Regions from separate parts of the Mus musculus genome. Here all the other regions are reported to be linked to region 3. The links are microRNA targets in miRTarBase. Many come from high-throughput screens and were not tested one by one. Region 3 holds a microRNA gene; each other region holds the end of a gene's coding sequence.

What was found. Region 3 holds the annotated microRNA mmu-miR-669m-3p (AUAUACAUCCACACAAACAUAU, at 1,891-1,912, shown strand). A microRNA usually pairs through its seed, bases 2 to 8, with sites in the 3' UTR of a target mRNA and lowers its output. Matches are read on the target gene's strand: a 7mer-m8 pairs with bases 2 to 8, a 7mer-A1 pairs with bases 2 to 7 and ends in A, and an 8mer does both.
Region 1: miRTarBase lists Ints12 as a target of mmu-miR-669m-3p. Seed matches in the 3' UTR shown: 7mer-m8 at 2,420-2,426.
Region 2: miRTarBase lists Rsad1 as a target of mmu-miR-669m-3p. Seed matches in the 3' UTR shown: 7mer-m8 at 1,379-1,385.
Region 4: miRTarBase lists Kcnc2 as a target of mmu-miR-669m-3p. Seed matches in the 3' UTR shown: 7mer-A1 at 1,034-1,040.
Region 5: miRTarBase lists Slc28a3 as a target of mmu-miR-669m-3p. Seed matches in the 3' UTR shown: 7mer-m8 at 804-810 and 7mer-A1 at 1,420-1,426.

Annotation. Positions count from the first base shown.
Region 1 is chr3:133,108,895-133,113,019 of GRCm38, reverse strand. Ints12 (integrator complex subunit 12) reads right to left here. Exons shown (of 7, transcript NM_027927.4): 7 at 2,032-4,125. The coding sequence ends at 3,601. Arhgef38 (Rho guanine nucleotide exchange factor (GEF) 38) reads left to right here. Exons shown (of 14, transcript NM_001368752.1): 14 at 1-742. Among named protein-coding and RNA genes, the nearest start is that of Ints12, 19 kb to the right of the region's middle.
Region 2 is chr11:94,539,187-94,543,311 of GRCm38, forward strand. Rsad1 (radical S-adenosyl methionine domain containing 1) reads right to left here. Exons shown (of 9, transcript NM_001013381.2): 7 at 4,108-4,125; 8 at 3,695-3,798; 9 at 612-3,461. The coding sequence ends at 3,344. Among named protein-coding and RNA genes, the nearest start is that of Rsad1, 8.0 kb to the right of the region's middle.
Region 3 is chr2:10,510,957-10,515,081 of GRCm38, forward strand. It overlaps Mir669m-1 (microRNA 669m-1), which reads left to right and starts at 1,834; the gene lies at 1,834-1,931. The region is part of intron 10 of Sfmbt2 (Scm-like with four mbt domains 2); the gene reads left to right. It overlaps Mir297b (microRNA 297b), which reads left to right and starts at 711; the gene lies at 711-819. It overlaps Mir466d (microRNA 466d), which reads left to right and starts at 1,011; the gene lies at 1,011-1,106. It also overlaps Mir669m-2, Mir466n, Mir669o, Mir466g and Mir466h.
Region 4 is chr10:112,462,975-112,467,099 of GRCm38, reverse strand. Kcnc2 (potassium voltage gated channel, Shaw-related subfamily, member 2) reads right to left here. Exons shown (of 5, transcript NM_001379643.1): 5 at 796-3,983. The coding sequence ends at 3,847. Among named protein-coding and RNA genes, the nearest start is that of Kcnc2, 200 kb to the right of the region's middle.
Region 5 is chr13:58,552,048-58,556,172 of GRCm38, reverse strand. It overlaps Slc28a3 (solute carrier family 28 (sodium-coupled nucleoside transporter), member 3), which reads left to right. Exons shown (of 18, transcript NM_022317.3): 18 at 357-2,866. The coding sequence ends at 483. Among named protein-coding and RNA genes, the nearest start is that of Gm38494, 7.6 kb to the right of the region's middle.

The DNA of each region.
Region 1 (4,125 bases), not on the chromosome of region 3:
CTTCCTTCTCTATACACACATAGATGTAAAATCAATCCAGTCCAAACTATAGTACTTCAGTTCTACTGGCTCTCACCCTGGGGTCTTTACGTAGCTACGATTTTCACGGTTGTACACTCTGGTTAGATGCAGGTAAATTTTGCGTATTTTGAAAAACAGGTCAACACGTTGGAAAAGACTAGACCTAAGATGTTCTTGGTTGGAAATCCTGGGAATATATTTTTACTAAATTAAATTTGTTTTGTTTTGCTTAAAATTCCACTGAGGCATCTGAATGTATCCATCACATTTCTAATTTCTTCTGACTTTTGTACTACTAAAATTTCATGTTGTTAAAAGTGATGTATTTCCTGTGAAACCTGGGGTCGTGACAATTTATAATTGTAACTAATAAAACTACTATCATGCCCTCGTCAAGATCTGGAATCATCTAACTTTTAAATACAGATGTGCTTTTATAGTGGACTTATAACCTGATATACTCACCATGTGTTTAAAACATCCTGATCTACTGACTATCACATTGTTCAGAAAGTCATTGCTATATAGAGAGTATCAGTTGCTTGGTGGCATGATCACATGAATACTGGGAGCTGCAACCTTTTGCCCCTGCCTGGAAATGAAATAGAATTTCAGAATATGTGAGCAACACAGGAAGATGACTTGAAGTGCAGATGCAACTAAATGTATGTGACTTTCACACTACTGAAAAATAAGAAAACAGTAAAGCATTATAAACCAGGGGTTGTTTGTATTAAGTCTTTTCATTTTATCTCATCTGAACTGCGTTTTATAAAGTAGGAAACTAACACAAAGGAGTTGAAGACCAGATCATTGCATCTTAAGACCAGCATTCTTTCTGTGTCATTTCATCTATTTTCAATTCACTAAATTCTATGCTTGATCTCATAAATTACAATATGAAAAACAGGAAAAGGATACTGACCAGGATAGTTCGAATTGTCAATTCTAAATCTCTACAAGAACACTTGCTGTTGTGGTTGTTAATGTGCAATGTTTCCCCTTGGCTCCTATGTTTCATCATTTTGTTGCCATCTGGTGGTGCTTTTTGGAACGTTATGGGATCTAGAGGAAGTGGAGACTTACTAGAGGAAACAGTCACTTGGGGGTTGGGGGGAGGGCTTTGAGGTTTTATACCCTGCTCTATGTCTTGTTTCCTGAAAGCTGAGACAAACTCATCAACTGGCCTCATGGTCTGGTGCCCTGCTTTCACCATCATGATGGATTCTGTCCCTTGAGAGCTGTAAGCCCAAATAAACCCTTTCTCTTTTAGGTTGCTTTTGTCAGAGTATTTTATCACAACAGAAGAGAAAACTAAGACACCTTCTCACTTGTTCACTCATTCACTGGAGAGCTGGAGATTCCAATGCTATTCAAGACAAAACAAGCTCTCTACCCCTCATATAACTCAAGTGTTAGAAATCCTTGTTATACATAACCAAAAAAAAAAAAAAAAAAACCCATACTATTGCTACTTTCATAACTGCTTCTTGTAGTATACTTGATGAGGAAAAAAATAAAGGCCTATGAGCTAGTTAATTTATAATAATTTATAATATCAAATATATACCTTAAAAATACCAAATTTAGGCCCTTACTACACACACACACACACGCACACAAATTACCTATACAAAGAATCCTATTCACTGAAAGATAAATTACTTCCTAAACTCATTAAAATTTCCAACTAGTGCCACAAATATCAAAAATAATTGCTTCTCTCAGATCCAGCACACTTTCTGTAATGAGACTAAAATTTTTTTACTTCAAAGCTAATATGTAAACTGTACTAAGCATTATTTCTCTAATGTCTTCAAGGAAGTGAATTTCAATAACTGTAATAGCTGTTGATATAAACTTGTGTCAGGTCATTTTGTTAAGTCAAAATTGCATTTGAAGTATAAACAAACTGTTTTGAACTCTTTATAAAGGGGATATGGAGTTTATACCAAACCAGTGTTAATGAACAGAAAGGTGATTCACAAAACAAAAACATCTACAGGCACATTTTTAAGTATATAAATAGATATTTATTCCATCTCTAAATTTTGAGTTTATTTCAATATTGGTTTCTAATTTATTATGAACAATTTAACGCCATTATTTAACAGTTTAAAATACTTCCATAGAAAAAGACCAAGCTTAATTTAAAAGTTTTCTCTTTTACAATGATTATCAATTTATTTTTAGAATAATGATGTTAGAACATCTAGGGATAAAGATACACTGAGATTAGATTTAAAGCAATTTGACTCAATGAATATAGGAAATCACAAGATTCATTTTTGGGAAATAATGAGGTATTCATTGATTATAAAAAAGAAAGGAAGCTATTTTTCTATAATACATTTACTGGTCAGATACAGAAAGTATTCTCTGTTGGGGTATGTACATATATACATATATATATGTAAACTAATGGGTAATTCATTAGCTTACAAGACAATGGCTTGGACCATGTATATAGGATCACATCACGGCAAGAGTTCAGAGGAGATTTTGCCCAAGGGTCAATTCTGGGATAGCCTTTTATAACTCCACTCTTGGCCAGAATTAGTCAGTGGACATATGAGGACTAATTAATCCTTCCCAAGGGCATACTCTTCCCCCAACAGGCTCCACCTGTCAACCACCAACTCCATTGCCATATTGGGGATTATGCTTCCTAACACATAAAACCTTAAGACAAACCATATCCTAACAATATTCAAAGCATATGAGCACGTTCTGACAGAAACCTCAAGGACTAATCATTAGGTAGGAGCCTCTTTCATACAAAGATAAACCACACCAAACGTTCTTGAAGTATTAAAAACAGCTTGTCCTTTCACCATGAGGAAGAAGCTGGGTGCAAACTAGTCATAAATGCCCATCTGCCAAGCCTCTTGGAAATGGATACTCTTCTCAATGATTCTCAGAATGTGCAACCAGGATGAGCCAAGTCAGCATTTATTAAATGTACATATCTGCACATATCCACACACTGGCCAGGTACGGAAAGTGGGCAACGTGAGAAAGTATACTGTATGAGCATTCATAATCTACTGGAATAAATAACGCCCTAAGTAATTGATAAGGGGTGGTTGAGAGCTAAAGACATGATAGGGAGCTATGGGAAATCACTTTCAAAATTAATTTTGATAAAAGAGGAGGTAATTGGAGAGAGATACTAGCTGACATGAGGACAATGACTGACACTGAACATTTCAGATTTTATAAAACGCTGGAACACTTTCTATTGAGTTGTCCCTGCCACCCATAAGGTACCAGGTGAGCCATTTCTTTTCATCTGTATGCGCCATCAATTTCTTGAAGCTCTTGTCATGCATCAGTCATTATAATCACTATTTTCACACACTATGGAAATTAAAAATGCTAAACAGACTGAAATAAATAGATCCAAGTTTGGCTAAATAATATTAGCATTTTAATGTAACAAACAATAGAGATTTGATCAAGATTTTTATTAAGGTACAGTACATTACAACTTTTGTCCCAGTAAGGGTTTTATTTTGTTTGTTTTGTTTTGTTTTTTAAGTTTTAGAGTAATATGATATAAAAATCTATCTGGCCATATTACTTCTTGAGTTTCTTTTGGGCAGCTTTCTTCTTGACCATCTGTAATCGCTTCATTGCGTTGAGCTGTGATTCTTGAGAAGTTGGACCTTTAAGAGATGCTGAGGTACTGCTGCTGGTCTCTGATGTGGCTTTGCTGGTGGTACTTCCACTGGGCCCCGTTGTAGCACTATTTCCATTCCCACTCAATTGGCTGCTGCCTCCAGGAACTAAACTACTAGGACTAGGAAGACCCACTTTGCTGACGTTATCACAACTCACTGAGCGACTCAGGCCAGTCTTGCCTAAGGTTAGTGGTGGAAGCGGTTTCAACGGGACAGAGGGGCTAGTGCTGTTACCAGAACCTATTTTGGAACCTATTCCACCTTTGGATGATGTTGCCAGACCAGTCAAACCCACAGGCTTCTGGTTAGAGGATGAGGCAGCAGGTTTTCCACTACTGTTTTGTGCTGCTGAATTCAATTTTGCTGTTGATGGACCAGCTGAAGAAGTTTTGGCTGCAAAAGCTGCCCATCCAGTTAGGCC
Region 2 (4,125 bases), not on the chromosome of region 3:
AAACACCTTTCGCCTTCTTTCTTCCTCTCAGCCCCTCAAAACCCAGTGCCCTCCAGGCTCCCATAGCTGTCTGAAACACCTTAACCAGCAACGCTTTATCTCTGAACATCTGTCACCGCAGCATCAAGCTCCCTGAGAGCACAGACAGGTCTTATTCCTCTGTTCATGCCCAGTACGGTGCCTGGCAGACCACTGGTGCTAGGTGAGTAGTTCATGAATAAAGTAACAGTTACCACGTTACCACAGGGTCAAAGAAGGACTGGCATTCACACCCACCGGCACATGGGAAATACACGTGCTTACTCCTAAGCAGTGTGGGGGATCCCCTGGCCTTTCATCATCCACTAGAAGTCAGCATGCTTCCACCTGCAGGGTTACTAAATCACTTCTGGCACCGTGGTACCCTTTGCCACGATAAGGAATTAGTTAAGGAGCTTTAGGCTGAGAACGTAGCTCAGTGACAGGTCCTGAGTTCCAGCCCTAGCACAATGAAACAAACCACACACACACACACACACACACACACACACACACGCATGCATGGCATGGCATACAATTTCCAAGTCAAGAATGAAAGGTTGGAAGTGCCTCAAGGAGGAGCTACGCAGGTCTGTCTTTTGGGGTAAGAGATTTATTAAGAGAATTATCAGTACCACAGACACACAGGCACAGCGGCACAGTGTACAGTAGCGGGAACATTCAAGCCCCAGTGTCATAGACACACAGACAACATGGTAGGGTTCTGAAGAGGATCCAAGTTCCCCAGGGTAGAGTGGGGGGCCCCTTCCTATAGATCTCAGTAGAAGGGGGAGGTTTCACATCACCAGACTGTCTCTGATTCCCCTGCAGGCGGCAGGGGAGAAGAAAAAAGGTCTTGCGTTATCAGGAAGAAATATGTCCCTCTGAAGAGCAAGGACACATCTAGTTGAGACATACCCATTATGGCAGCGCCCCCCCCCCCCCCCCCGTCCAGGGAGTCTGACAACCTAAGGTCTATTCGATGGGATGAGCCTGTTACAGGGTTAGGAATTTACAGGTTTGAGATTCCTACCATAGAAGGAGGTTGTCTGGCTTGAACAAGGCCATAGGTCTGATTCTTAACATTGTAACAATAACAGAGGAAAGTTCTTTTTTATGGGGAAAATGGAAAATAATTAATTTGGAAGGAATAATAGAATCAGAAACCAATACTTTGCAATCCTCAATTTAAGAAATGATTTGGCTAGGCTGGAGAGATGGCTCAGCAGATAAGAGCACAGGGTGCTCTTCCATAGGTCCTGAGTTCAATTCCCAGCAACCACATGGTTGCTCACAACCATTTATATATAATCTGATGTCCTCTTCTGTCATGCAGGCATATATACAAATAGAGCACTCATATACATAAAATACCTAAGTTTGAGGCTGGAGAGATGGCTCAGTGGTTAAGAGCACTGTCTGCTCTTCCAGAGGTCCTGAGTTCAATTCCCAGCACCAATGTAATGGCCCATAACCATCTATAGTGTGATCTGAGGTCCTCTTCTGGCATACAGGTGTACATGCAGATAGAGCAATTGTAGACATAAGTAAATGTTTAAAAATACAAATGTAAATTTTAAAAGTAATTTGGGAAAGAATCACTAGTAGGTGCTAAAGTCACTGGTCAAATGATTATCAGGCGATGGGACATTTGGTCTCATGGTCTCAAGCCAAGATAATGAACTCCTTAATTTCAAAGGAAAGATGCAGCTGTGCACTATTACCCTCGGGGCTGGAGAGATGGCTCAACAGTTAAGGGCACTTATTTGATCTGGCAGAGGACCCACATTCAATAACCAGCACCCACATTGTGGCTCACAACCATCCGCAAGCCCAGTTCCAGGGGATCCAACAGGCACACGCATGGTGTGCACATTCAAAGGCATGCACACAAAATACTTAAATAGTAAGAAAGATAAATCTAAATTAAAAAAATAATAATACTGAACCTGATAGGGTTGGGGATTTAGATAGTGGTGTTTGCCTCAGCGCATGAAGTCCAGAACCACAGAAAAATGGGTGTGGTGGTGCATGCCCGTGATCTCAGCACTCGGGAGGCAGAAGCAGGGGGTCCGATGCTAAACACTGTCCTCAGCCACACAGTGAGTTTGCAGTGTCGGGTACATATGGCACTGTCTCAGGGGGAAAAAAAACCCCACAATCTTTTACATTCAAAATAGAAGCTGGAGAAATAGCTTAGCAGGAGAGAGTGCTCCCTGCTCTTCCAGAGGACCAGAGTGTGGTGCTCAGAAAAGATGGCTCACATTCATTCCTCTGTAACTCTGTCTCCAGAAGATACAACACTCTACTCTGGCCTCCATGGCTGCACGCACACACGCGCGCGCGCGCGCGCGCGCGCGCACACACACACACACACACACTTTAATAAAATGTGGGCAGTATTGGTGCAAGCCTTTAATCCCTACATTCGGAAGGCAAAGAAAGGCAAGCAGATCTCTGAGTTCTAGACAAGCCTGGTCTACAGTGTGAGCTCCAGGACCAAGGCCACACAGAGAGACCCCATCTTGAAAATCCAAATAAATAATAAAAATGAAAATAATGTTTAAAACTTTGAACCTGAATTCAACCCTTAGGAAATAATGAGACATACATAGAGTATAGGTTACATTTCTGTACAACAAGTGGCCTTGGATAAAAATATTTTTTTTAGATTTATTTCTTTTTATTTTATGCATATGAGTGTTTTGCCTAGATGAATATCTATGCACCACACAGGTGTCTGGTACACGAAGAGGTGAAAAGAAGGTGCCGGATCCCCTGGAATGAGAGTTACTGATGGTTGTGAGCTGCCACATGGCTGCTGGGACTTGAACCCTGGTTCTCTAGAAGAGCAAACCACCAAGCCATCTCTCCAGCCCTTCAAATGGTTTTGTAAACATCTTGTTCCTATATTTCTTCTGTGTAAGGTACCTGGAGGGGATTTAGTTCTACTGAACCATACAAGCTAGGGCTTCTCTCTAGAATGAGGCTTCTCTGATAGATACAATTCCCTGTAGAAAGATTTTGTGTTATTTGGTGTCCAAAAAAGTCAACAAAAGCCAGTGGCGGGGGGTGGGAGTGGGGTGGTGAGGACATCCTAGGCAGGGAACACTTGCTGACCTGTGACTCCTGGGATGCTGTGAGGGATACCAGTCCCCAGAACAGAGGCAGCCGTCCATCCAACTGACCACATCCATTCCCATGGGGGTGTCAGAGCCAAGCAATAGCACCTCAGAGCAGAGATGGCACCTACCGGCAGATGCCCACCATCTGGCCCAGCCCTCTAAGTCCAACTGGTGCTTCCTCATGATACAAGGATGTCTGGTCATCCTCCTGACACGGGTGAGGAAGGCCTGTGCTGCCAGGCCTCTTGGAGTTGAGGTAGGAGGGTCAATAACAGGGAGTCCAGCACAGCTAGGCCCTCCCAGGAACACCGGAGACCCCTGGAAAACCGAGAGGTCTGGATATGACTCTAACTTTACCATAAAGGCCCATTCCTGCCCACCCCTGGCAGCCCATGCCCTCCTCTATTGGTCTTTCTTGTTTCTACCACTCTGAAAAGGAGGGGAACATTTAGTTGTGACACACTCATTATGGCAGTCCTCCCACGCCCCAATCTGTAGTCAAGAGCTCCCAGGGTCTGTGAAGCCCCCTCCGCACAATATTCCCAACATACCTGTAATCCAGCAGCAGCAGACCCTGAGCTAGCAGCTCCTCCACCTCCTTGCTTGCTCCAAACACGTCCCACAGGGTCAGCTGGGGCTCAAACTGCTGCCAGTGCTAGGAATCAGAAGTCAGTGCAATGAGCTGGCCGACACACACACACACACACACACACACACACATACACACACACACACACACACTTGGATTTAATGTGAATAATAGCTCAGTGGTAGAGCACCTGCCCAGCACAGAGCTCTACGTGCAATCTTTAACTGGCATACAGCACTACCCACTGCCTCTGTCACCAGACTTCAGTTGGCCAGGTCCAGCTTCTAGTTGCCAACCTAGAGGATGGAGGGAGTAGGGCCTGGGAAGTGACCCTAGGAGGTGCTAATAATATCTGAGATCCCCCCAGTCCCTTACCTGGTGAGTGACTCCAAC
Region 3 (4,125 bases):
AGTAGTGGGACAGTGAATGGTCTCAATCACCAGGTGTAAACCACAGAGTCAGGAGGATCAGGAGTTCAAATCCATGCTTAATTTCAGTTGGAGATCATCCTGGTATTTCTGTGATGCTACCCATGTATGTGCATGTGTGCTTACTTGTATGTGCATGTGCATGTGTTGATATGAATATACATAACATAAACACACGTGTATATGCAGGCACACACACACAGAAGAAATTGCATTCGTCGTTACGTTTGAATGATATATGACTTAGAGCTTTAAGAGTATGTATTACTGGGCCAATGAAACGTCTTACTTACCAGTAAAAATGTTTGTTATATTCAGATGGATCAGGGGTCCAAATTCATGAGTAATTTCAAAATGACATAGAGATCAGCCTGACTTCACGGGGTTCCCCCCAATGTATGTTTATGTGTGTATAGTTTATGTGCATGTGCATGTGTGCATATGCATATACATATACATCCATACAAACATATAGAAGTAGCACAGATACACAGACACACACACACACACCCATCAATCATTTTGAATGACAGGTGACTTAGAGTTTTAGAAATTATGCTGTGCTGGGCCAGTGAGTGCTCTTAGTCAAAAGGTAAAAATGCTTGCCAGAGTCAGGAGGATGAGCAGTCAAAATTCATTCTCAACTTCATGATGAGTCTGGGATCAACTTCGGATTCATGTGATGCCCCCAATCTATTTGCTTGTGTGTATATGTATGTGTGCATGAACATGTGTATATGAATATACATATACATACACACATACCCATACAAACATGCATACAAACACACAGAAAATGGATACTCATTGTTCTATTGAATGATATGTGTCTTAGAGTCTTAGAGATTCTGTATGACTGGGCCAGGGAGAGGTCACACTCACCATGTGACGCCCCTTGCCAGAGTCAGGGTGATCAGGAGTGCAAATTCATGTTAACTGCGTGATGAGGTAGAGATCAGCCTGTCATTCATGTGATGGCCCCTGTGTATGTGCATGTGTGTTTGTGTGTGCGTACATGTACATGTGTGTATATGAATATACATATACATACACGCACACATAGATACGCACGCACACACACACACAGGGATGGCACTCATCAATCCATTTGAATGATAAGTGACTTAGAGTGAAAATGCTTACTAGAGTTAAGAGTATCAGGAGTTCAAATTCATACTTATCCTCATGAGAATTTAGAGATCAGCCTGTGATTTATGTGATTCCTCCATGTATGTGCATGTGTGTATAGTTGTGTGTGCATGTTCATGTCTATATTTGAATATACATAACATACACACACACGTATAAACGCAAGCACACATACACAGATACAGGAATGGCATTCGCCAATCCCTTTGAATGATAAGTCATGTAGAGTTTTAGAGATTATGCAATAGGGGACATTGAATGGTCTCACCCACCAGGTGTAAAAGATTGACAAAGTCAGGAGGATAAAGATTTCAAATTCATGCTTAATTCAGTTAGAGATCATCCTGGTATTCATGTGATGCCACCCATGTATGTGCATGTGTGTTTACTTGTATGTGCATGTGCATGTGTTGACATGAATATACATAACATAAACACATGTGTATATGCAAGCACACACACACACACACAGAGAAAAAATTGCATTCATTTATATGTTTGAAAGATATGTGACTTAGAGCTTTAGCAATTATGTAGTACTTGGCCAATGAAACTTCTTACTTACCAGTAAAATGTTTTTCATATTCAGATGGATCAGGAGTTCAAATTCATGAGTAACTTCAAAATGGTGTACAGATCAGCCTGGCTTCATGGGATCCTCCCCAATGTATGTGCATGTGTGTATAGTTTTGTGTGCATGTGCATGTGTGTATATGAATAGACATATACATCCACACAAACATATACAAGCAAGCACAGATACACACACAGGAATGGCACTCATCGATCCATTTGAATGATAGGTGACTTAGAGTTTTAGAGACTGCAGTAGTGGGACAGTGAATGGTCTCAGTCACCAGCTGTAAATGATTGACAAAGTCTGGAGAATCAGGATTTCAAATTCATGATTAACTTCAGTTAGAGATTATCCTGGTATTCCTGTGATGCCACCCATGTATGTGCATGTGTGTTTACATGTGTGTGCGTGTACATCTGTGTAAATGAATATATATATATATATATATATATACATATATATATATATATATATATATATATATATATATATATAACATAAACATACATGTATATGGACACACGTATGCACACATACACACAAGGAATGGAATTCATTGATATGTTTGAATGATATGTGATTTTGAGCTTTAAAGGTTATGTAGTACTGGTCAAATGAAAGTTTTTCTCACTATGTAAAAGCTTGCCATATTCAGAGGGGTCAGGAATTCATATTCATAAATAAATTCAAAAGAGAGTAGAGATCAGCCTGATTTTATGGGGTTCCCCACAATATATTTGCATGTGTGTATAGTTTTGTGTGCATGTGCATGTGTGTATATGAATATACATATACATCCACACAAACATATACAAGCATGCACAGATATACACACACACAGAAATGGCACCCATAGATCATTTTGAGTGACATGTGACATGTGACATGTGAGTTTTAGAGAGTATGCCGTGCTGGGCCAATGAATGCTCTCACTCACAAGGTAAAGACCCTTGCCAGATTCAGGATGATCAAGAGTGTAAATTCATGTTGGTTGCATGATGAGTTGGAGATCAGCCTGGCATTCATGTGATGGCTCCTGTGTATGTGCATGTGTGTTTGTGTGTGCGTACATGTACATGTGTGTATATGAATATGCATATACATGAGAGCATACATAGACACACGTGCATGTGCGCTTGCATGCGCGTGCGTGCACACACACACACACACACACAGAGGATATGTGATTTACAGTCTTATAGATTATGTAGTAGTGGGTAATGAATGGTCGCACTCATCATGTGTAAACAATTTGCAGATTCAAGAAGATCAGGAGTTCAAATTCATGCTTAACTTCAGCTGGACATCATCCTGGTATTCATGTGATGCCACCCGTGTATGTGCATGTGTGTTTACAGGTGTGTGCATGTGAATGTATATATATGAGTATACATGTACAGACACATGCAGCACACACACACACACGAATGCCACTCATTGATCCATTTGAATGATATGTCACTTAGCATATTAGAGATTATGCAGTACTTGGCCAGTGAGTGCTCTCATTCTCTAGGTGAAAATCCTTGCTAGAGTTAAGAGTATCCCGAGTTCAAATTCATACTTATCCTCATGAGAGATCAGCCTGTGATTCCTCCATGCATGTGCATGTGTGTATAGTTGTGTGTGCATGTTTATGTGTGTATTTGAATATACATAACATACACACACACGTATAAACACAAGCACACACACACAGACACAAGAATGACACTCATCAATCCATTTGAATGATAACTGACTTAAGAGTTTTAGAGATTATGCAATAGGGGACAGTGAATGGTTTCACTCACCAGGTGTAAATGATTGACAGAGTCAGGTTAATCAGGATTTCAAATTCATGCTTAACTTCAGTTATAGATCATTCATGTGATGCCACCCATTTATGTCGATGTGTGTTTTCGTGTGTGTGCATGTGGATGTATGTATATGATTTTGCATATACAGACACATGCACACACATGCGGCACACACACACACACACAAATGACACTCATCGATCCATTTGAATGATATGTCACTTAGAGTTTTAGAGATTATGCAGTTCTGGGACAGTGCGTGATCTCACTCTCCAGGTCAAAATGTATGCTGGAATCAGGAGTTTTAGGAGTTCAAATTCATGCTTAACTTCATGATGATTTTAAGATCAGCCTGTGATTCATGTGATTCTCAGCCATGTATGTCCATGTGTGTATATTTGTGTGTGCATGTGCTTGTGTGTATGTGAATATATATATCATACGCACGCACACACACACACAAATGCAAGCACATACACTCTCACACACAGAGGAATTGAATTCATCCATTAATTTGAATGCTATGTGACTTATTCTTTTAGAGATTATGCAGTAGTGGGACAGTGAACGGTCTCACTCGCC
Region 4 (4,125 bases), not on the chromosome of region 3:
TATCATTACTCTTTACTTGTGATATCTTATACCTGTTTTTTTTTTTTTTAATAAGAACTGGTGGTGATTGCTATTGATAGAAGTATGTTTTCTCTTTATTCACAGTGTTCCTTGTCACAGTGAATCTTTCCTCTGAATATTATTGTTAATAACATTTGCAGGTAACTCTACTTTCAAAACCCTCTTTGCTAGGCTCCGCATCTTAATCCTCTTGTTGTCATTAGCACTGAACAGCTTGAGAGACTGAAACTCGCATGCAGATACATTATTAAAAGAGGGGGGTTGGATTTGCCCACATTCTTTTCTGCCTCAGTACTTTTTTTTTCTTTCCTCGTCTCTTCTATCATTGGATGGTATTATAGAATTGTGTATGGTAAGTTTATTCATATCCCTGCAATATGGCTGGGATGCCAGCTATGTTCGTCATGTGTAGGAAACAGAGATCCAAAGACAGAAGGCATGTTTTCAAGTAGGATTTACACCAAGAGGTTCAGTAAATATTTAAAATGTAGGAAGGACACTTGTGACAAAAATGTAAATGAACAGTTGTGCCACTCAGGTCCTGAACTGCACTGTTAATGAAATTAAAGCACAAGTATTCTCGCAAGAAAACAGAATGAAATAGAAAACATAAGCTATGCTTCCAAGTTTTGAGTGAATAGAGAGCTTCCGTATCTTTAAAAGACCTTCATTCCCAACTTCTTGGGAATGTGTAAGTGTGTGTGCTGTAGAACCATGAAGCAGAACAACAGCCAAGCCACTGAAATCGAAACACACAAAGAAAGAAAGCCAGAGAAGGGTATGAATCATTTAATCACATAGGATTCAAGTCTATCCCCAGATCAGTTGACTTTTATTCTTCACTTCAGTTAGTAACATGTCCATTGGCTTATCAGAAGGTTAGGCATGCACCTTGAGATGGTCACAAAAGGTACACGATACAGGGGGGTTATAGTTAGGCTATATAGTATATTCAGAATCCCAGGGGAACTATTAGATTCTGGAAATATTGATTAAGCAAGATGAAAAACTCTTATACAGTTTCAACTACAGCAGTGATAAGGACAAATGCACGCTTCGTTAGCCACAAAGCTCACAAAAAAAAAAAGTAATTGGTTGAAGAATATCTCTTTTATGCAAAATAGACATTTTAGGATATAATTTGATAATATTCTACTATATACTGACATTTTCCTTAATCATTTAATAAAAAAATATTCTCATTGCCAGAATTTATACTTTTTAATATTTATAATTGAGGTAACAAGGACAAAAGACTTAAAACTATGAACACTGTTGATGACTTTCTTCTAGATAGTAACAGCCTTCCAGAACTAAATGAACACGTGACCAAGAAATGGTTAGATTTCTATGTAGACACTAGAAGTTTACAACACAGTCGACACGCTGATCTATAAGCGGTTTGCAAGAAAATGAGGCAATCAGTGTTTGGATATCCAACACGTAATGTACAAATAAGAGAAATGAAAACAGACCTATACTACATCGGATTCACTGCCCTCTGTAATTCACTCCAAAACCACCGTGAGCCTGAGAGGAGCCATTCAGAGCCTTGCGGGCATTCCTTGAAGCCCCACAGACGCTGACCATGAATGTGGCGTCTCACCGTCTGACGTCTCACCGTCTGATGTCTGTGGCGTCTCACTGTCTATGAGACGGTGAGAGTGGGCAGGTCCATGCACACGGTTGGTATTTACAGCTGTTCCGTGGACTCAGGTCTGTCGACAAGCAGAATATTCCCATGGCGAGCACCATCTCAGTTCCAGCCACAGTCCCTTTTATAAGCTTTAAATGCCTCATAAGATGCGGGACCTCTTCTGGAAACAAACGGGTCACATCGGGTTACATTCGGTAGCAGAAGTTTTCTGGTACAATCCTTGGAATGGCTAAATCTCAATGTCCTTTTTTTTCAGCAGTCAAAAATCCATGATAAATTCTGTACAACACTGCAGTCAATAACAGCAGCACCAGACAGCATGTTAATTCCTTACCGTAAATCTCTGAGTACTCACAGCATTCTACGAATGGTGTTATCAAAAGAATCGTGGAGTCTCTAAATTTCGAGTATTTACGTCTGGGTAAATGCATTGCTGTACAAGATCTCTTGACATGCAGCTCATGCTCTAGGGCTTGGGAATGGAGACTAACACACGTCTCTATCCAATAACACAAGTGACAATTGCCTTTCTATCAAAAATAAACATGAGAATCAGGAATTCATCAACACGCGTAAGGATCAATTCATTGAAAGTTAAAGTCTAGGCTGAGATTATATTATGGCATTTTCCTTCCTTCGCATACCCAAAATATCAGATACACTATTGCTACAGCATTTGGTAGGGATGTGTAAACAGACTATCTTCCCTCCAGACTGAAAATAAATAAATAAATAAAAAAGACTCCCTAGGGATGGTTCCTGGAACGTACTGGTGAATGCTGATTGCTAGGCAGTAGAAACCAGCACTGCCATAAGGAACAGAGAACTATGGTGAATTGCTGCTTCGGTCCTGCTCATGGAAAAAAATATTCACAGTGCCTATTAATCTAGGTAGTCTACACAGCATCATTAGTTTTGCATACAAGAAGACATGGGTAGGAGGTAGGGAGTTCAAAGAGACAATCAGGGCACGTCTACCCTCTATGGAGACAGCATATAGAGTTAAGACAGGGAGCTAAGACAGACAGATGGAGACAACACACGGGACGAAGCACCTGATTAAACACAGCCTGAAAATTCTGGTTAGTCCTTTGATGCAAATCTTAAGGCTAGTCAAAAAAGCCTCCGGTGAACACCAGTAACTTTTAATGTTCACACAAAATAATAAATAAAAATAAAGAGGCAAGAAAAAAAAAGACAAAAGCTTTGGGTAATATTTGGCACTCTACCTCTAAAAATAATGACAAATTCTAGGACTTAAAGGGGGGGGGGGGGAATGGCTCTAGTACCAAGCAGCGATTCTTGGCTAAACAATGCAAGCCTGGTTAGCTGTTACCTTTCTTTCATGTTTTGTGCCTTCCCCAAGTCATTAAGTAAGAGATCTGGCCTCGGCTTGCGTGTAACCAGTAATGACAACCTCTTTGCAGTTATCTGTGTATACAAACAACCAAAAACATTCAGAACACCAATACAGCATTTGTTTGTTTTTTATAAAAAAAAAAAAAGAAATCAATCGAAAAATTAAGGTATTTAAAGTAAATACTTCTATCAAAGAAGGGGTGGGGAATAGCAAGGAGAAAGGCACCCCTCCCTGCCCCACAATTCAACATGCAGAACAGGCTCCCAGCGATTTCACATTTGCAGGATGGTTTGAAGCAAGTACATGTATCCTGAGCCATCCAGTCCCAGGACTCTACAACATTGTATTCAGGTGATACAGACAAGATGGTCCATGCCAATGAACTGACCAAAGTCATGTCCTATGCGATCTAGATAGGATCCCAGACATCTTCAGAATGGTTTGGAGTCACAAGAAATGAAGGTCCAGAAAGGTGGCTGGCATTTAGAAGCACACTATTAAAGTCTCCCTGAAGATATGGCTTATGCATTAGTGCACTGGCCAATATCTGACACTATTGGTCACTGTATTGCAAAAGGAAACTGGGGCAACTTGTCTTGAGTAGTAGCACTACTTTAGATCATCTTTAAAGCCAGGATAAGATGTTTTAGCTACTTGCGTAGCATTTCTGACTTCAAATAGTAATATCATGCAGGAGCTACACTGTTACTAATGGAGCCTGGAGAAACTCTACAGTTGATTGTTTCCATTACAGGGTAAACAGTAGTTGGTTGTATTGATAGAATTTAGCCGATTGATGCAGTTTGGTTTACAAGATAGATGGGATGGGAGACCGAGAGCGCCTCAGAGGACACGGAGAGTTGTAGGGGGACGTTACTGGAGAGAGTCTCAGAGCATTGCCTGCCAAGCCCGCTATGTTGTTTAAGCTTCGGGATTTTTCATATCCTTTTATGAAAAAATGCATAGACATCAGTTGAGTTCAACCAGAAATTAGAAAGAGACAAACAGTACAGTGCAGGGTAACCCCAAGTTCTATTTTTCAGCTAAAACCATTTGTAAAGAAATCAATATTGACACAATTCATACA
Region 5 (4,125 bases), not on the chromosome of region 3:
TGCTCTGTGGGTCAAGGGGATTGAACCTGGGTCCTCCAGGACAGCCAGTGTGCTCTTAACTGCCTAGTCATGGGTCCAGTTCATGTACAGGTACCTTTTTATTTTTCGTTTGTTGTTTTTGTAAGAATTAGTTCTACCCTGTCATTGCTATTCTGAAAGAAACAGTGGGAGTTCTCAGGGCCACCCAGAATCTGAGAACCAAAACCAACCCTCAGGAGTCTCTCTTAAACCCACCTATCTAGACTGGAAACAAGGGAATCCGCTTCCTGTCCTGTACCATTTCCAGTGTGCCCTTGTCTACTCTCCTCCTGCTCCCACCTAAGGCCCAGCTAATGAGTTCCTTCTGCCTCCACCAGCACTGTTGCCAAGGGACCAAATGACGTCGTCCCAGGAGGAAACTTCAGCCTCTATGCTTTGAAGAGCTGCTGCAACCTGCTGAAACCACCAACGCTGAACTGCAATTGGATCCCTAATAAATTGTGATCTCAGCCATGTGTCCAGTGGGATTCTGCATGCAGATGCTGGAGTTCCTGCCCTGGAGGGGATAGAAAACTCCGTCATGGACTCAGACTTAATGGCAAAGGAGGAACAAGGTCAGGAGTGAGTCCTCCTGAGCTACAGTGTCTCCCTTCTCCTTTCTCTCCTTAGCCCACCATCTCTGCATGGAGAACTAGGATGTTGTCCCTAGCTGAGGTGTGATCCTAAGCCCCAACAATATTTTCTGACTTTATAGTTTCAAGGCATTTCATGAAAAAATATGTGTATATAAACAAATATATACACATATATATGTCTGTGTGTATATGTATATATATACACATGTAATAGTATATATATGCATACCATATATATTTATATAAATATATATATACCAATATATATGGTAGTTCCCAGCAACTGGGCCAGATAGATAGATAGATAGATAGATAGATAGATAGATAGATAGATAGATAGATGTGTGTGTGTGTGTGTGTGTGTGTGTGGTAGTTCCCAATATGATTTAAACACATCTCAGGCAAGGTCATTCCACCCTCACTCAAGGTCATCTGAAATACCTTCAACTTGAATCTCATGTGAAGGAGGGCTATTCTGCAATGGCCCATTCATTCGCTACCATCCAGAAGTTTCTCATAGATCAAGAGTCCTTCAGAAAAGCACGCAGGCCATACGAAAGCCAATACTTGAGTCCATAAACATAGAGCCTTGTAAGCAGCAAGCTTCCATCCACCTATGCTGCAGAGACTCCCCGCTAACTTCAACATCTTACAAATCTTTTACGGATATGTTTGAAATGCTCGGCTTCAAGATTCTAAGTCTCATCAGCCTCAGAGGCTTGTAAGCAGTCGTCCTCCATCTTTTTAAAGTTAACATTGTATTTTTTGAATGAATATCTTTTATTCTTTGGCAATTTTACACATGTGTATAATGTACTTTGATCATACCTACCCTTAATTCCCACTGCCCCCACCCTCCTAGACACCCCTCAGCTTGTCTCCACCTCACCTTCTTGCCCTCTCCTCTATGTTTTGTAACCTTCTGAGTCTAGGGCTGCCTGCCACAATGTTGCCTGGCACTGTTGGCTTGATCTTGTGGGAGTGACCATTTCTTCTGTAACTTACTAAGTCTAGGGTTGCCTGCAACAATGTTGCCTGGCACTGTTGGCTTGATCTTGTGGGAGTGACCATTTCTACCTTGAGCTCATGAGTGCAAAGTCTGTCCTGTTCGGAAGACAGCATCTCACAGCTCTTCCCCAGCCCCTGGCTCTCACATTCTTTCCTCCCCATCTTGAGCTCTATTCCCTGTGCCGCAAGGAAGTAGCTATAAATGTTCCAGTTGGAGCTGAGCACTCTGTAGTTGTGTATTCTCACATTTATCATCCATGAGTCTCTGCATTGCTAAACTGGGGTTTAATCATGTCTGTTTTCAGTACCCTGGCTAAAAGAAGTGGTCCCTATATGGGTTGACCTTAGGGAAACATGCAGAAACAGTGTAATAGCTCTTAACTTTGCTGCTAGGAGCCAGATTTGGTGCACACTCCTGTATTCCAGCTCTGGGAAGCTGAGACAGGAAGATTATGAGCTCAAAACCAGCACAGGGTACATAGCAAGAGTGTGTCTCCAAGCAGCAACAGCAAAATTTATACAAGGTAATAACACTCTTCATTTCCACTCTGTGCTGTGAGCCAGAGAAGTTCTGTGACAAGGAGGTGTCTGAGGCCATAAATGAACTATCCCTGTCACAAGAGGAAAACAGTGGACACTTTTTTTTTTTTTTTGGTTTTTCGAGACAGGGTTTCTCTGTGTAGCCCTGGCTGTCCTGGCACTCACTTTGTAGACCAGGCTGGCCTTGAACTCAGAAATCCACCTGCCTCTGCCTCCCGAGTGCTGGGATTAAAGGCGTGCGCCACCACGCCCGGCTACAACAGTGAACACTTTGAAGAAGTCAATAGACTACCAAGGTGCCTGACATCCAAGTCTCTGTGATTGTGTATATAGACCTGTTGATGTGCAATTTTGTTACATTCCTGATTAAGACTGTAAAACATTAGTGCTCAGTCAAAAAGCCACGTAAGGGCCAACTATGAAGGACACTCAATGCCCACTGAGGTGGGGATGGCTTTCACTGGCTCTCCTGTCAATCAGCAAGACACCAGCATCATGAGTGCTCCCTGGGGGTTATCAGCAGAACTCGCTTTAACGAAATAAGTATCGACGGTGCAGAGAACACACTGAGGAAAACCTGAGCCAAAGACGACTCAAAAGGAAGAGTGTCAGCGGGGAAAGGGTTATGCAATACCTTAGATGATGTATTCTGTTTCCCCTTCTGACCATGCACGAGAGCAATTAAAAAATAATCTATGCATAAATAGTTGGGATTATTTGTTGGTTTTGCTTTATGTTTGGTGGTGTGGGAGGAGGGCTTGTGTGTCCAAAGAACTTTTTGTCCCTGAAGTAAACAGATCAAGGTATTTCTAATTTTTTTTTTCGAGACAGGGTTTCTCTGTATAGCCCTGGCTGTCCTGGAACTCACTTTGTAGACCAGGCTGGCTTCAAACTCAGAAATCTGCCTGCCATTGCCTCCCGAGTGCTGGGATTAAAGTCGTGTGCCCCCACACCCGGCCCGGTATTTCTAATTTTTTTTATTATTTTCATCAATCTTTCTCAGTCTTTATACTTTAGGAAAAGCCATTTGTGTGTCCTTGTAAGCCTTAAGGTTTCATTACAGCCTACGGAACAACGTCGGAAGTGCCAATTATTCATATGTTGGTTCTCTCTTGTCTTCTATAGCTACTATCTTCTCTCTGATGCTTTTTTTGTTGTTGTTGTTTTTGTTTTGTTTTGTTTTGTTTTGTTTTGTTTTTGTTTTTTGTTTTTTTTTTTTTTTTTGGTTTTTCGAGACAGAGTTTCTCTGTGTAGCTCTGGCTGTCCTGGAACTCACTCTGTAGACCAGGCTGGCCTCGAACTCAGAAATCCGCCTGCCTCTGCCTCCCAAGTGCTGGGATTAAAGGCATGTGCCACCACACCCGGCTCTCTCTGATGCTTTTTAACCTCCTGATTTTTTTTTATATATTTGTATATATTCTTCCTGAGAATCCCTGAGAGAACCTTTTTGTTATTTCTAGAATGCCTATCAATTTTTTTTTAAATTTTGTCTTTGGTCAATATGTTTCTTTGTTTAACTCTTTCCTGAGCCTGTCAGCTTGCCTCAAGGAAAGCAATTATGACTGTTTGTCAAAAAGTTTTTTCTCTTTAGTTTGTAAAAAATAGACGTTCACAATGAAAACACTGTTTGTTAAACTGGAATAAGAAAATCTAAAATATAATAGTTTTACACGAACATAACTAAACATCTTTCTGCCCATTCTGAGCACCCCAGTTCTCCGCCAACAGAGAACTCACTGGTAACTGACCAGTACTCATGCCTTTCTTCCTGTTTGTACAAACACAGAAGAGCATGTAAGGGATCAGTGATGACAGACACAGCAAATATTTGCATACTACCTTTCACTTCCTCTTCACAGCTAGTGAGATGCTTTGAAAATCCCCCTTTGTCTATAGCTCTAGCTTTAGCTTTCCGTTTTCTTTATGCCTGGATACACACACGCAGCACACACACACACACACA